Nothobranchius furzeri: one gene and its partner. The protein of the gene in region 2 purifies or fractionates together with the protein of the main gene of each other region. This does not show direct contact. Links are inferred from orthologs where the notes say so. Each region holds a gene or a part of one and is shown on either strand. Other genes may lie near its edges.

Region 1 (7,654 bases), on a different chromosome or scaffold from region 2:
GCGGGAGTCCGTAGGAAAATATTGTTTCTGTTTTTTTCTAAACGGAGAAACTTTTGTGCAACGTTTCTTTTGGCCATGCCTCGTTTCAGACCGGGTTTATTCAGTCGGGTTACACGGTAAAGCCTCTGCTATGTTCTCTGGTTGTTGGAATAAACACAACTGTTTTTGGTGTTTGTGTGATGTTGTGTATTTTTTAAGGCGCAGGGCTTATTTATTACTTGTTACCCTCATTTTAAAGTAATTCATTACATTACAATATTACTGATTTTAAAATGTAAGGCATTACACTACTTTTGCATTACTTTAAGTTACTTTCACCAAAACAACTTCAATATAAATCTGGTCATGTGACGCTCAGTGAGCTCATGACATATATGTGGAAAGTGATGTGGTGTCTGAGCTAGGATTGCTGTTAAAAACAGTCAGATATAATAACAGTGCTTTAAAATGATTGTTTGTTAAATAAAAGCAACAATGATCTGTACTCTCAGCACGCTGCCATCTTAGATTAGCTGAGCAGGGAGTGAGGTGGTGGGGGCTCCAAGCCTATATTTGCCTTGGTCCCCAAATGCCTTGATACGGCCCTGGATGTGGGACTGACTTCTGGGGTGATCTGATTCTATCACATGTATAAATATTAAATGCTTATATATTATTGCTTTTCACTGGTAAAAATGTGTGTTGGGGATAAATCTACCTACTTTTTTCTTTTCAAGCACTTTGTTTTGTTTTCTTGATTTTATGTGAATAATTTCCTGCCCTTTCTCTCTCTAACCTTCCTGCATGCTGCATGTTTTCTCCGTCTTCTAGAAAAACTGTAAACTAGATTTCCTAGTTTCTAACTAATCAGCCAAAGGGATCTACCGAACACAAAAATAAATAAATAAATAAATAAATAAAAAAAGCTTTGCGCTGCACTCCAGCAGCAAGGAGTTGAAATCACCGGTGCACAGATTATGAACTCAGCTGAAAAGTACATGAAGTACCAGAGAATATGGGCTGATATAAACCATCGCAAACGAATTACTTTGTTTTGGTGGAGCGATTTTGTGAATATAATAGCGGCCGCGCGCAGGACGCAGCTGGAGTGTTTGAGCCATTACCACTGCGTCCTCTCTGCTCATAGAATGCCCGCAAAGCTGAGTCCATAAATGACGTCATATATGTGGATACTGGATCTTTTTTCAGGCTTCCCGCAATTAGAATTTTTAGGAAACCCGCATCTAGATTCTGGGTTTAAAAATGCATTGTAATTACCGCGTTACTGACAATTGTACCGAGTAAATATTACCATTTTCTTTCCCTGTAATGCCTTACATTACCACATTACAGCAAAAAGCAATGCATTACAGTAGTTAATTACTTATGTACCGCGTTACTCCCAACACTGATTGGGAGCACATAAGAAATGCTTGCGTGGCCGTGCAGCTACGGTTCTGATGTATTTTTAGAGGTGCAGCTTGACGACAACGATTCATATTTAGAGCATGAATTAACCCTTTGATGCATGAATTATGAAATCTTCAACCAAGATTTTTGAAACAATTGTTTTTCATACATATTTGGGTGTGAATGAAACAAATTTCAACCAATATTTTTTATAACGTTGAATAATTTACAAATAATTTCTTACATGTCCACCTCAGTTGTACCGAAATATGTTGGCTTGACTTACTGAAGTCCAAATGGAGGAGCTCAAATTCATTAAAGTCTTCAACAGCTGTGCTTAATGGCAAAATTAAATAAATAACAATTTTGAGTACCTGTCCACTTTAGTGACCGTTATGCATCAAAGGGTTAATATTCCCCAACTGGGGGCCTTTGAGCCCAAATGGTTAATTTTCTTTAACTCGTAATTTTTTTTTATTCAGTTATCACTTACTTTTGATTCTCTAATGAGTTGTATATGAATTATTTATTTCTTTTTTCTATTTTGTTTTTATTTTGTGTGTTATGTTTTAATTGTATATTAATTAGTTACTATGCTCATTTAATCTGTTTTTTTCTTGTTTTTTTCTTTCTTTCTTCTCCTTAGCCATCGTGTTCAGTATAACATCTTGCCACTGGACTACAGTTGAAAATTAGCCTGCTGGCTAACACTGGCACATTTACAGTAACGTATATTAATGTGCACGGTCCTTAAATAAATAAATGAAATGAAATAATCAGGGCTGCATGGTGGCGCAGTGGTTAGCACTGTTGCCTCGCAGCACGAAGGTTGCAGGTTCGAAACTCGGCTGTGGCCTTTCTGTGTGGAGTTGGGTGTTCTCCCCATGCATGCGTGGGTTTCCTCCGGGTACTCCGGTTTCCCCCACAGATCACAACATGCCCTATAGGTTATACATTGTAAGTCGCTTTGGATAAAAGCGTCGGCCAAATAAATAAACATAAACATAAGGCGTTACCCCCCCACCCCACAACCCCCCACCCTCCCTGAGATGTTAGGAATAACAAGGGTGATGTTTTAAGTAGATCCTGATTCTAATCAACAGGATCAAATATTAGCGTTCTCCGTGCTTTCTCCGCCTGTTTCCATGAACATGTCTGACTTTAATATTCATGCATAAAAAATAGTAATTTGGTTAAAAAATAAAAACACTGTTGAGACTGGAGAGGTTTGATGACAGATGAGTTTTGATCCGAGCAACATCAGCAAACCACATAAAACTTTATTTCTAACCACTAAACTGAACCAGAGAATAAAAAAAGTTTAAAAAGCGCTTTTTAAAAATTATTCTGTGAAGAAGTGTTCTATTTTTGATTTAATCATGTGAAGGCGACATATTAGTAATAATAGAGATAAGTTATTTTCCTGCAGCGATCTCCTCTGGTTTCCTGATGTTTGCTCCTTTGACCTTTGACCTCAGCCGGAAGCAGCTACAATAGAGTTAAAATATCTCTTCCCTTTTCCTGCCTCCAAACTAAAATTACCCCCAAAAGAAACATCTCCTTATTTAGATGAACCCTCTACATGTCGATTCTCTCTCACCAACTTTAGAGCCGAGTCCATGAAACCTCAGACGTGACGTCGCCATCAGACTCTCAGAGGGTGGCTGTGGCTCACTCATTTATCGATCCCGAAAGTCATGGAGAACTTTTAATGGTTCCATCACAGGATGAAGAATAAAACTCAACAATGTGAAATCAGACTTGTTTACATTTGAAAACAAGTTTCAGGTCAGCTTCCCTCCCGTCAGACTGTCATAAACGCATCTGTGACGCGTACACCCGCTGACGTCAGCGACGTCACGTTTACGCTCTCTCCGCGTTTCCAGATGCCCTAAAAGCTTCCAGGCAGGCCCAGCTGAGAGCGATTAGTTTATTACGCAACACACACTCTCTCACACCCGAACGCACTTTCTCCTACACACACACACACACACACACTGCTTTCGACAGAGCAGGGAGGTTAAGAGGAGGTAGGCTGCAGCAGGAACTTCATCCACATTCTTTACAGGAACACGTGGAGGCTGCTGCAGCCTTTAGGGCCGCTCGAGTCTGGTTTTATGGTGTTGACAATGGAAACATAGCTGTGTGTGTGTGTGTGTGTGCTAGATTGTACATGCGAGGACTAAATCTTTTTTATGATGTCTTCCTCTTTGGTTTCCCCTGCTGACCGCCTGTCCTGTCCAGTGGTTCCCTCCTAAAAACCTTTTCCTGCAAACATCTCTGAAACCAGCTGATTCGTTAGAAGCATGCTGGGATGTCCCATATCTGAGCTCGTTTTCTCTGAACTGAAGGTTTCAAACAGCAACGCTACTAAAAATAGATCCCTCTTGCTCTGATTTAGTCCTCCTTTACTTTCCGTACAAACAGAGAAAGGAAGGCATGTGACCAAAGGAGAGGAAGAGAGAGTACAACAAATGAAAGAGAAAGAGTGATGGAAGAGTAGACCGCAGACATTGTTCTGCTTCTCCCTGCAAACGGGAGGAAATATGGAGGAGAGATGAGATTAGGTCAAGTCACGGGGAAGGCATGTCAGAAATGTGGTGTGTGTGTGTGTGTGTGTGTGTGTGTGTGTGTGTCCGATCCAGCTCTCTGGCATCAGGTGTTGGAGATTTGAATTTAAAGATGCAGAATGAACTTTGTGTCGTTTCCACTAACCGTTGAGTTAACTGTTAAAGATTTACAGTAGGAAATGGAAACCTGGTGCTGTGGATCCAGATTTAACAGTTTGGTTTATTATCAGCAGACAAAAGTTAGATGAGAACGTTTCTGGGTCTCAGCTCAGCGGCTGCTCTCTGCTGGACGTGTTTATTGTTTTACAGTCATGGCTTTAGGAAATGACTCACGTCCACGGTGACAGCACACCGATGATGATTAAAGTTAAGAAAAAATACTCAGATGAGCATCCATCAACACCAGTCCAGTGCCGGTGGAGTGTGTTTAATCTAGTTAGAAATAAAGAAATAGATGAGTTTTTGAAACTGAGAGGACTCACGTATCTCCGTAGCTTCTTCTCTGGTGGGGATTTCCTCAGCCATCCTTCACACACCACATCTGCCGCTCCGCTCATCCTGATGTTTCTGGTTAGTCAGTCACCCTGTCAACAGCCGGTCGGGAGTCAGATCAGGTGAAGATCCCGTCTGAATCCACAGACTCAACCAGCAGAACCTCGCACCAGACTCCAGCCGGCAGGAGTTTGAATCAGAAGAACCCAAAACAACTCAGGACCTCAGATCAGCTCTGTCCTCACACACGTTTCCCTGGCTGAGAAGAATCCTGTTTGGGAGGAGCTCATCCACACACACACCAGAGCTGCTCCGCGTCTGCTGACTAACGCAGTCACACCTCCTCCTGAGAGACTTATTTCCCAACAGAATCACTCCTCCCTCCATAACCAAACACAATCCCTCAGCTCAGACATTCCTTCTCTCCTCTCCTCCCTCTCTTTGGCTCCTCCCCTTCCTGCTCACTCCCCCTATTCTGTTAGACAGGAAAAAAATCCCCCCCCCCCCCATGTGTGAGGAATGGTTTTCAAACAAAACTTTCAGTAACCGTCGCCAGTTTTCAGGTCTTCTGATGCAAAAAACTAAATCCCGAGTTATGAGAACGGACATTTTTCAATGTTTTTACTAAATTTTTCTGAGAACTGTCGAAACCCCCTTGATGATCGATTGTATGTTAAAATAAGTTTTCAATACAACAAATATCAGGCATCATTTTGTAATATTATACCAATATTTACCACAGCCACCACTCTGTGATAATTACTATTAAATGATTACATTTCATAAATAAACTATAATGTTTTTTTCTTCCACATCATTCATCAGCGTTCCCCTGAGCTTTACACTCACACACACTGAACCGTTTTTATTACCAAACTCATAACGTTCATGCACAAGCGCCTCTGCTGTTCTGCCCTTAAAACAGACGCAGGTTTAGTCGTGAATCTCTGGAGCTGCGCACTTACCATACCGACTGGTTTGTGGACTGCTGCTCCACATGGGAAGACAAAACAATAGAACTAATGACAAGGAGGCGAACGGGGGGTGACTCTGGGGGAATGCCCACCCTCTGGAGAACACCCTGCATTGCTCCAGTGCCCAAAAATAACCGGGCACGTGAGCCAAATGACTTCCAAGTAGAGGCGCTCGCATCACACCTAAGGGTGACCAGATCCCAACTTGGCACACGTGGGACAGAGACAACTCAAATATGGGACAACGTTAAGCTCCACTTTAATGAGAAAAAACAAACACACAAAACGTATATTCTGCCTTTTAGCCCTAACATCACTGTTACATATACATACAATGATTATTCTTATTATTAAATATTTCTTGTATATATTTCATTTGAATTCAACATGAAGAAGCATACAGCAAAAGCTTTACTATTTCACTGTTCCCCTCAAGTTACCACATTACTCAGTAGTGGCTCTGATCATTTTAATAACATAGATCGGCCCACAATAATAAAAAAATGCAGGTTTAAGCAGCTTTTCAGAGTTTTCATTGAATGTTTTCCACAACAGAATGACAGTAAAAGTACCCGTAATATTTTTTAGATCTTTTTATGTTTGTTTTAATTAATTTTCCACTAACATCAGCATCTCATTAAAAAAAATATCCATACTTTTTTGCCATTTTTTTCTTAATTCAGAAACAAAACGTTTTTTTAAACATGACAACAAATCTCTTCTAGATTTTAGGTGAGATAATAAACATCAAATTCTAATCTGTAAAAAGTCAGATCTAATCTGCAGGGAGTGCAGAATTATTAGGCAAGTTGTATTTTTGAGGAATAATTTTATTATTGAACAACAACCATGTTCTCAATGAACCCAAAAATCTCATTAATATCAAAGCTGAATGTTTTTGGAAGTAGTTTTTAGTTTGTTTTTAGTTTTAGCTATTTTAGGGGGATATCTGTACAGGTGACTATTACTGTGCATAATTATTAGGCAACTTAACAAAAAACAAATATATACCCAATTCAATTATTTATTTTTACCAGTGAAACCAATATAACATCTCCACATTCCCAAATATACATTTCTGACATTCAAAAACAATACAAAAACAAATCAGCGACCAATATAGCCACCTTTCTTTGCAAGGACACTCAAAAGCCTGCCATCCATGGATTCTGTCAGTGTTTTGATCTGTTCACTATCAACATTGCGTGCAGCAGCAACCACAGCCTCCCAGACACTGTTCAGAGAGGTGTACCGTTTTCCCTCCTTGTAAATCTCACATTTGATGATGGACCACAGGTTCTCAATGGGGTTCAGATCAGGTGAACAAGGAGGCCATGTCATTAGTTTTTCTTCTTTTACACCCTTTCTTGCCAGCCACGCTGTGGAGTACTTGGACGCGTGTGATGGAGCATTGTCCTGCATGAAAATCATGTTTTTCTTGAAGGATGCAGACTTCTTCCTGTACCACTGCTTGAAGAAGGTGTCTTCCAGAAACTGGCAGTAGGACTGGGAGTTGAGCTCGACTCCATCCTCAACCCGAAAAGGTCCCACAAGCTCATCTTTGATGATACCAGCCCAAACCAGTACTCCACCTCCACCTTGCTGGCATCTGAGTCAGACTGGAGCTCTCTGCCCTTTACCAATCCAGCCACAAGCCCATCCATCTGGCCCATCAAGACTCACTCTCATTTCATCAGTCCATAAAACCTTAGAAAAATCAGTCTTGAGATATTTCTTGGCCCAGTCTTGACGTTTCAGCTTGTGTGTCTTGTTCAGTGGTGGTCGTCTTTCAGCCTTTCTTACCTTGGCCATGTCTCGGAGTATTGCACACCTTGTGCTTTTGGGCACTCCAGTGATGTTGCAGCTCTGAAATATGGCCAAACTGGTGGCAAGTGGCATCTTGGCAGCTGCACGCTTGACTTTTCTCAGTTCATGGGCAGTTATTTTGCACCTTGGGTTTTCCACACGCTTCTTGCGACCCTGTTGACCATTTTGAATGAAACGCTTGATTGTTCGATGATCACGCTTCAGAAGCTTTGCAATTTTAAGACTGCTGCATCCCTCTGCAAGATATCTAACTATTTTGACCTTTCTGAGCCTGTCAAGTCCTTCTTTTGACCCGTTTTGCCAAAGGAAAGGAAGTTGCCTAATAATTATGCACACCTGATATAGGGTGTTGATGTCATTAGACCACACCCCTTCTCATTACAGAGATACACATCACCTAAT
Region 2 (6,534 bases):
TTTTTATAGTTATGGTTATTCTAAACCAAGATCGTCCTGTCTCTCTTCACCTGTTGCTTTTAGGATCAGTTCTAGAGAACAGATGGGGTCCGTTTATGTGCTCGAGTTTAAATGGCAACACAAATGTGCTTCACATGACTCATAATGTAGTCAGGGCTTTTCCCAGATTTAACTCATTTCAGATGTGTGGGCAGTGGCGTGTCTAGATCTATTAAAATGGGGTGGCCCAGGTGAGGCACAACTTTGTGCATGGGTGGCACCAATGGTTATGCTTTTTTTTGTTTTACCCTCAAGCCTTTTGTAGACAATGAAAAGCCTATTTAAAGGGAAATTAGTGTGGTGGCACCTGGGGTGGCCAATTAGATTCCAAGGGTGGCATGTGCTACCCCAGGCCACTCCCTGGACACGCCCCTGTGTGTGGGTTATGTACTCACTTATCCATCGATTCTGTGATTATTTGAAAAAAATTACAATCATATAACATGTTGCTTCTGTGTAGAACTGCATTATCAGATTTGTGGAGGAAATGTCAAATAGTATTTAGATTATGATTTTATAAATCTGGTTGTCACATTTTAACTTCCTCGGTTTTTACAAAACTGATGCTTCTCTAAAAACTTTACTAAAAATCAGCCACCTTGATTTAAAGGAAGTTTAAGGTCATTCAACAGTTCTTCCATAAACACAAACTCTTGCAGCATTCTTCCTACAAGAGTGAGATGATTATTTATCCATTTTACACTTTAATTTCGGAGATCCCGTCTTTACATGCAGATATATTCTCCATTAATACTTTAAAGCCCTTTTTTAAACTGGGACACACTCTAAACCATCTGGCACCGAAGCTGGCCTAAAAGCAGCAATGCTAATGGACTGTAGAAAGGCCATCATCGACCTCAACACAAATCCATTTACATACACATTAACACACACAAGCTGCGCCTCGAGGACAAGTCAGACTCGGCTAAGTTTGATTCATTACGCTCATTTACACAGGAGCCATGACCAATCACCTGCTGCCCATAGGAATACATTGATTATCTTTGATGACAAGCGTGTATACTGAATGCATTAAACCCTATGGTTTACATACACTTAATTATAGTTACCAAAACATTAGAATTAAACTTTTTTTTCTCTTATCAGAAAAAAAGCAGTTTTAATTATACTTGAAGGACTTTTGTGGACCAGAATTAAGGTTCTGATTGTGAGCCATTAACAGTATTCCTGGAAAGCCCAATCAATAAGCTGCATGATAGTGCACATGCAGACGTTCTACTGTAGCCTAAGGCAGGGAGAGTGGAGGTTATGTCAATGGTAGGATCCCTTAGTCTTCCACACAGACAATCATTTGACTTCAAATTATTGACCTTTTCATAGGTACACTTGTTCATCTGCTTAAGACAACCATCTACAGTCAGCCAGCTCAATGCATTCAGGCATCTAGAGGTCATGAGCAAATTTTGTTAAAGAAACAGGGTCTACAGAGAGTGAACAGCAAATGGGAGCAGACTGGTTCTGTATGAGAGAAAGGCACCAGCAGCTCAAATAGGCACCAGTTCAAGATGAGGTCAACAGTACAGCACACGTTGAAGCAGCAGAAGACCACTACTCCTGTCAGCTTAGAAGAAAACGCAGGCAACGATTCACAAAGGTTCATCGAAACCCGACCACTGAACACTGGAAAAACATTTCCTGGTCTAATGAGTATCATTTCAGCTGCAACTTCAAGATGGTTGCTGCAGAATTTAGTTTAAAAAGCATGAATCCATCCTGCCTCATCAAAGCATAATGCTGCTGTCGGTGTAATGATGCAGCAAGGACCAGAATCTCTGCGTCTAGAATCTCTCCTTTAGTCTACATCGTGAGAAATTAGGGCAGTTCAGAAGACAAAGTGGGTCCAACTCCGTACTAGCGAGGTTTTTGTAACAAACTTCTAGAACCTACAGCACATCGCTAACATCTGTCCCGGACAAACAACTGAAACTCTGCCCTTGAAAAACTTGCCATTCTTCATCTCTGGGTCAGCTGATGTTCTTTTCTTAGCACTTCATTAAAATTCATTAATTGCTTCCTTTCTCCTGGGCCCAGGCACTCTAAACTGGAACTGTCAAAAATGAGAGCAAATACAACCATCCTGCACTCCAGAAACACAACAGAGGATGGCTGCAGACACCCATCTGTGCAGCACAAACAAGCTAATAGGCAAGAGCAGAAACACACAGGTTAAAGAAGTAGACATACTTTTTATTTAATTGTTCTGTACATAAAGGGTCAATACCAGCACAGGTGTTAACCATGGGAAATATTAACACATGTAAATGGCATAAGAAAATAAAAAGGCACAATTTTCAGTTCTTAAGTAAAGGACAGGCTTTCCTAGAATACGAGGCGAGAGCACGTAATACTGTTAATGTCTTTATGAAATAACTGGGTAGCGAGAGAAAAGCAAGTTCACCTCAGGTAAGGAAACTATCAGCGTGTATTGCTCGATTAGAATTTATTAATTTTAACATGAAAAACCCACTCGGATGTCCACGCATACCAGCTAGAATTAAAACTTTTATCCAATAAAATATAACAAAAAGCAGCTTTTCGTCCAGGTGAACCGTTTCCTCGGTCAAGAGATCATGCACGTAGGGCAACCAGCAGGCATTTTTCCCTTTTGGAAGTCACTTTAAAAGACACACGTACACAAAAAAACTTTTAAAAGCACAATTTAAATGCCAAGTCTGACCACACACACGCACACAAATTAGAGATGGAGAGGGAAGAGACATTTTACGTTAGTTCTGTTCAATCTTGAGGTCCTGCTGGTTGTTGCACAGTAAGAAAGACGTGCACAATCCGAGCTTTTAATAACATTTAAAATAGTCAGTCTGAGATGGGCTCTCATGCACTGAAAGCAGAAGTCTTATTCAGAAGGCATTCGTGGGATTTCATTGGTTTGCTGAACATCTCGCTTACCCTGGCGCCCGTCACCAAAAGGAGCATTTTAGACTTTAGTCGTTTCTGGAGGGAAAAGCTGACCATATTACTAATGACCCAGGCAGAGGCTTGGCACTTAGAGGGACAAAGTTGGTTTTGGTCACAGTAACTCCAAAAAATGTCTAACTAATTTTAAAGAGGTACTGTATGGCATTGAAGTTTTCAAGATAAGTAAAATCAATTTTTTGATCAGATGGCACAAACAAAGATAGCAATGGAATCAACACAAGGACATAAAAATGGTGGCAAATTATGGCAAAAAACTGCAGAAATGCCTTTTCTTCTCAATCTTTTTGATTTTACGGATAAAAATAAATTAAAACAGAAATGAATCAGTCACTCATCAACTCACAGCCAAACGTGTGTGGTACAACAGGGTCTTGATTTGGGGGGGGGGGGGGGGGGTTACTGGCTGGTCAGCTCCTCGTTGGCCCAGTGCTCTAAAGGTTACACAGATAATGCCTTTTCCCTTGCAACACACACACACACACACACACACACACACACACACACACACACACACACACACACACACACACACACACACACACACACACACACACACACACACACACACACACACACACACACACACACACACACACACACACACACACACTCTCCAAGACTTCTGACAAGACAAATGTTCAGGGGGAGAGAGAGAAAAAAAAGACATATCACGCACGTGCGCACACTTTTACATGCAAAAACGACTGATGCCCAGTGATGTTCTGGAAAACAAAACTGCCCTCTGTAAATACGACAGAAAGATAAAATGAACTAAGGGACAATAGTTCATGTTTTCGTAGAGCTCTGGTGTCCACAGCTGTAAACGGTCAGAAAGCCTTGCCACAGCTGGCAACATGAACAGATGGGGTCACCGTCATAGCACAGCCCCCAAGCAGGCAGGAACATAATGGCGACACCGCTGGGGAGAGGCAGACACGGCCAGCTGCTTCAGGTACGTGTCGAGAGGCTTCAGCTCAACTCCTGAGTCAGTCACTCTCATCAGGATTCAGGGGATCTATAATTTTGACATGGGTGAAAGGGAAGAGACCCCTTCGTCCATTCACTTCGCCTTCCCACTGGCCGCTGATGTTCATTCGTGTCACATTAACAATATCCCCGACCTAAGGGAAGGAGAGACAGATTTCATTAATATTTTACACAGAAATATAACTAAGCTTAAGGGGAGCAAAGATATCTCAGTGGGACGGGAATAAACACATTTTCAAACTGTTGTTACCTAGAAAAAGGAGTTACTGCGTTTCAAATAGCACCAGCAACAGAGGTTTTGTTTGCTAGGCTGTTAGCAAGGGAACCATCAGAGGAATAAAACATTTAGAACAACTATCTATTAAAGTATATACAGTGGTACAGAAAGTATTCAGACCCCCGTCAATTTTTCACTCTTTATTATATTGCAGACATTTGCTAAAATCAAATAGAATTTTAGACATTTAAGCAGATTTATTAAAAAAGACAAACTGAACTATCACATGTATTCAGACCCTTTGCTCAGTATTTAGTAGAAGCACCCTGTTGAGCTAATACAGCCATGAGTCTTCTTGGTAACGATGCAACAAGTTTCTTACACCTGGGTTTGGGGATCCTCTGCCATTTTTTCCTCATTAATTACAAACAGCACATCATATTGACCGAAAAACAAATAATTTAAAGAATTTAAGCAGATTTATTAAAAATGAAAAACTGAAATATCACATGGTCCTAAGTATTCAGACCAGGTTTTTTATTTACCAAGAATTTTCATGTCTCAGTGGGGCGACGGTGGCAAAGGAGTTAAGTGCTCGCCCCGTAATCAGAAGGTTGCAGGTTCGAGCCCCGCTCAGTCTGTCGTCGTGTCCTTGGGCAAGACACTTAACCCACGTTGCCTGCTGGTGGTGGTCGGAAGGACCGGTGGCGCCAGTGCTCTGCAGCCTCGCCTCTGTCAGTGCACCTGTGGCTACATTGTAGCTCATCCCCACCAGTGTGTGAATGGGAGTGTGAATGATTGTGTTGTAAAGTACCTTGAGGGGTTCCGGGACTCTAGAAGGCGCTATATCAAATACAGGTCATTTTAACATAAAGCTCTGGTACGCCTGTTTCAGGGGGTAGAAGGTAGAAGTGAGCCACAGCAGAGGTGAGCTTCAGACAGCAGGATTTGGAGTCTTATTTACTGATATTTGAACATCTTGACTCTGCTTGGCTAACAGCAACGTGACTTCACCTCTGACTTTGTTTACTTTGTAACGTTGATGCTTTATCACCACAAATAACACAAAGTCGGAGAAGTTCTGCTGTATGGTGGAGTTGCTAATGCTAACGGTTAGCTTCTACCGGCCAGTAAGTTCTCTACCTTCTTCTGGACACTAAACCAACAACAGCCTCCCCTGTTACGAGCCAAGATGGGGCAGTATGTGAAGGCTAACTTGACATGATGACACGATGTCACTGGCTTCTCCCATTTGAGCGTTGACCTGTATATTTTCTATCAGTGGCTAATGGAATGGAAATAGGGGTTGAAGAATATCTTCACAGCTTTATGCTTATATGCTTTAGCTTGTATGTAGGTCTGCAGCTATCGAATATTTTAGTATTCGAGTATTCTATCTTATCTTACATCGATTAATCGAGTATTCTATTAGATGATGTTTCAAGTGAAATGAGATCATGGTCTGCTGCTAAAAATATGAAAATAAAAAGCAAAATTATAAAAGGCTCAATAATATATATTAAATTGGTGTTGTCTAGTTCCCCCTTTCCCAGCTGATATTTATAGTTAAATATTTTATGGAACAACATTTAACTTACATTTCATTCACTATTTAAGTTTGTATTTACCTCATTCTAGTCAAAAAACATATATAAAATATTCACATATAATGAGTAGAATGTGATTATTTCATTAACATGTTCAGTAGTAAGCTACTAGAAATGCTAACATTAAATTTCTACTTGTAACAAAGTACTTGTGGTATATTTATTTTATTATGTATGGGTTGGCAACATAATCTAGTCTAAATTGCATTGAAATGTAAAAGGGTTAGCGAATTATATGCTACAACGGCTTGCCAAAGCCTTCTGCGGCAGACGGAGCAGACTCGTAGCAACAACCAGACGGTAGTTGCAGAGGCTTTGCCCCACACAGCTGCAGAGATCCACAAATAAATGGGATGGTGGGGATTTTTCTTCAGCTTGTGGAGTTTAGTCATTCACAACCATCACGTTTTTTTCTGAACCACACTTGCGTGTGAGAATGCTACCCACTAACTTAGCATTAGCAATTCTGCTCGTAGTTTAACTCTTGATCCCAAACTTTGGACCGTTTCTGCTTTTTACAATGGTTTCCGTCTTTGCTGGTTTCTCTATTTTTGTCCCCGGCACCTAGATCACCACGCAGTGCTCCAGTAAAATGTGTTCAGACTGTGGAGTGCACATTTAACAAAGCTTCAGATAAGTGAAAAAAATGAATCGATGAATTTAATGAATCGAACCATTCGATGATTCGTTTCAGCCCCACTTGTATGTTACACTCAAAAAAACTGA

Evidence for each region. The genes of interacting proteins can lie anywhere in the genome.
Region 1: the proteins of crkl (region 2) and GRB2-associated-binding protein 1 purify together in Homo sapiens (affinity purification with western blotting; 3 studies listed by BioGRID and IntAct, with this or other methods). This does not show direct contact. The link is inferred for Nothobranchius furzeri from reciprocal best matches to the Homo sapiens genes CRKL and GAB1.

The regions. Positions count from the first base shown.
Region 1 is NC_091742.1:87,972,027-87,979,680, reverse strand, and holds the start of GRB2-associated-binding protein 1, read right to left. Parts: upstream 4,878-7,654; 5' UTR 4,517-4,877; coding exon 4,442-4,516; intron 4,411-4,441; exon of another isoform or gene 3,011-4,410; coding exon of another isoform or gene 2,990-3,010; intron 1-2,989. UniProt on the Homo sapiens protein: Adapter protein that plays a role in intracellular signaling cascades triggered by activated receptor-type kinases. Plays a role in FGFR1 signaling. Probably involved in signaling by the epidermal growth factor receptor (EGFR) and the insulin receptor (INSR).
Region 2 is NC_091746.1:46,867,206-46,873,739, forward strand, and holds the end of crkl (crk-like protein), read right to left. Parts: intron 4,119-6,534; coding exon 3,984-4,118; 3' UTR 2,227-3,983; downstream 1-2,226. UniProt on the Homo sapiens protein: May mediate the transduction of intracellular signals.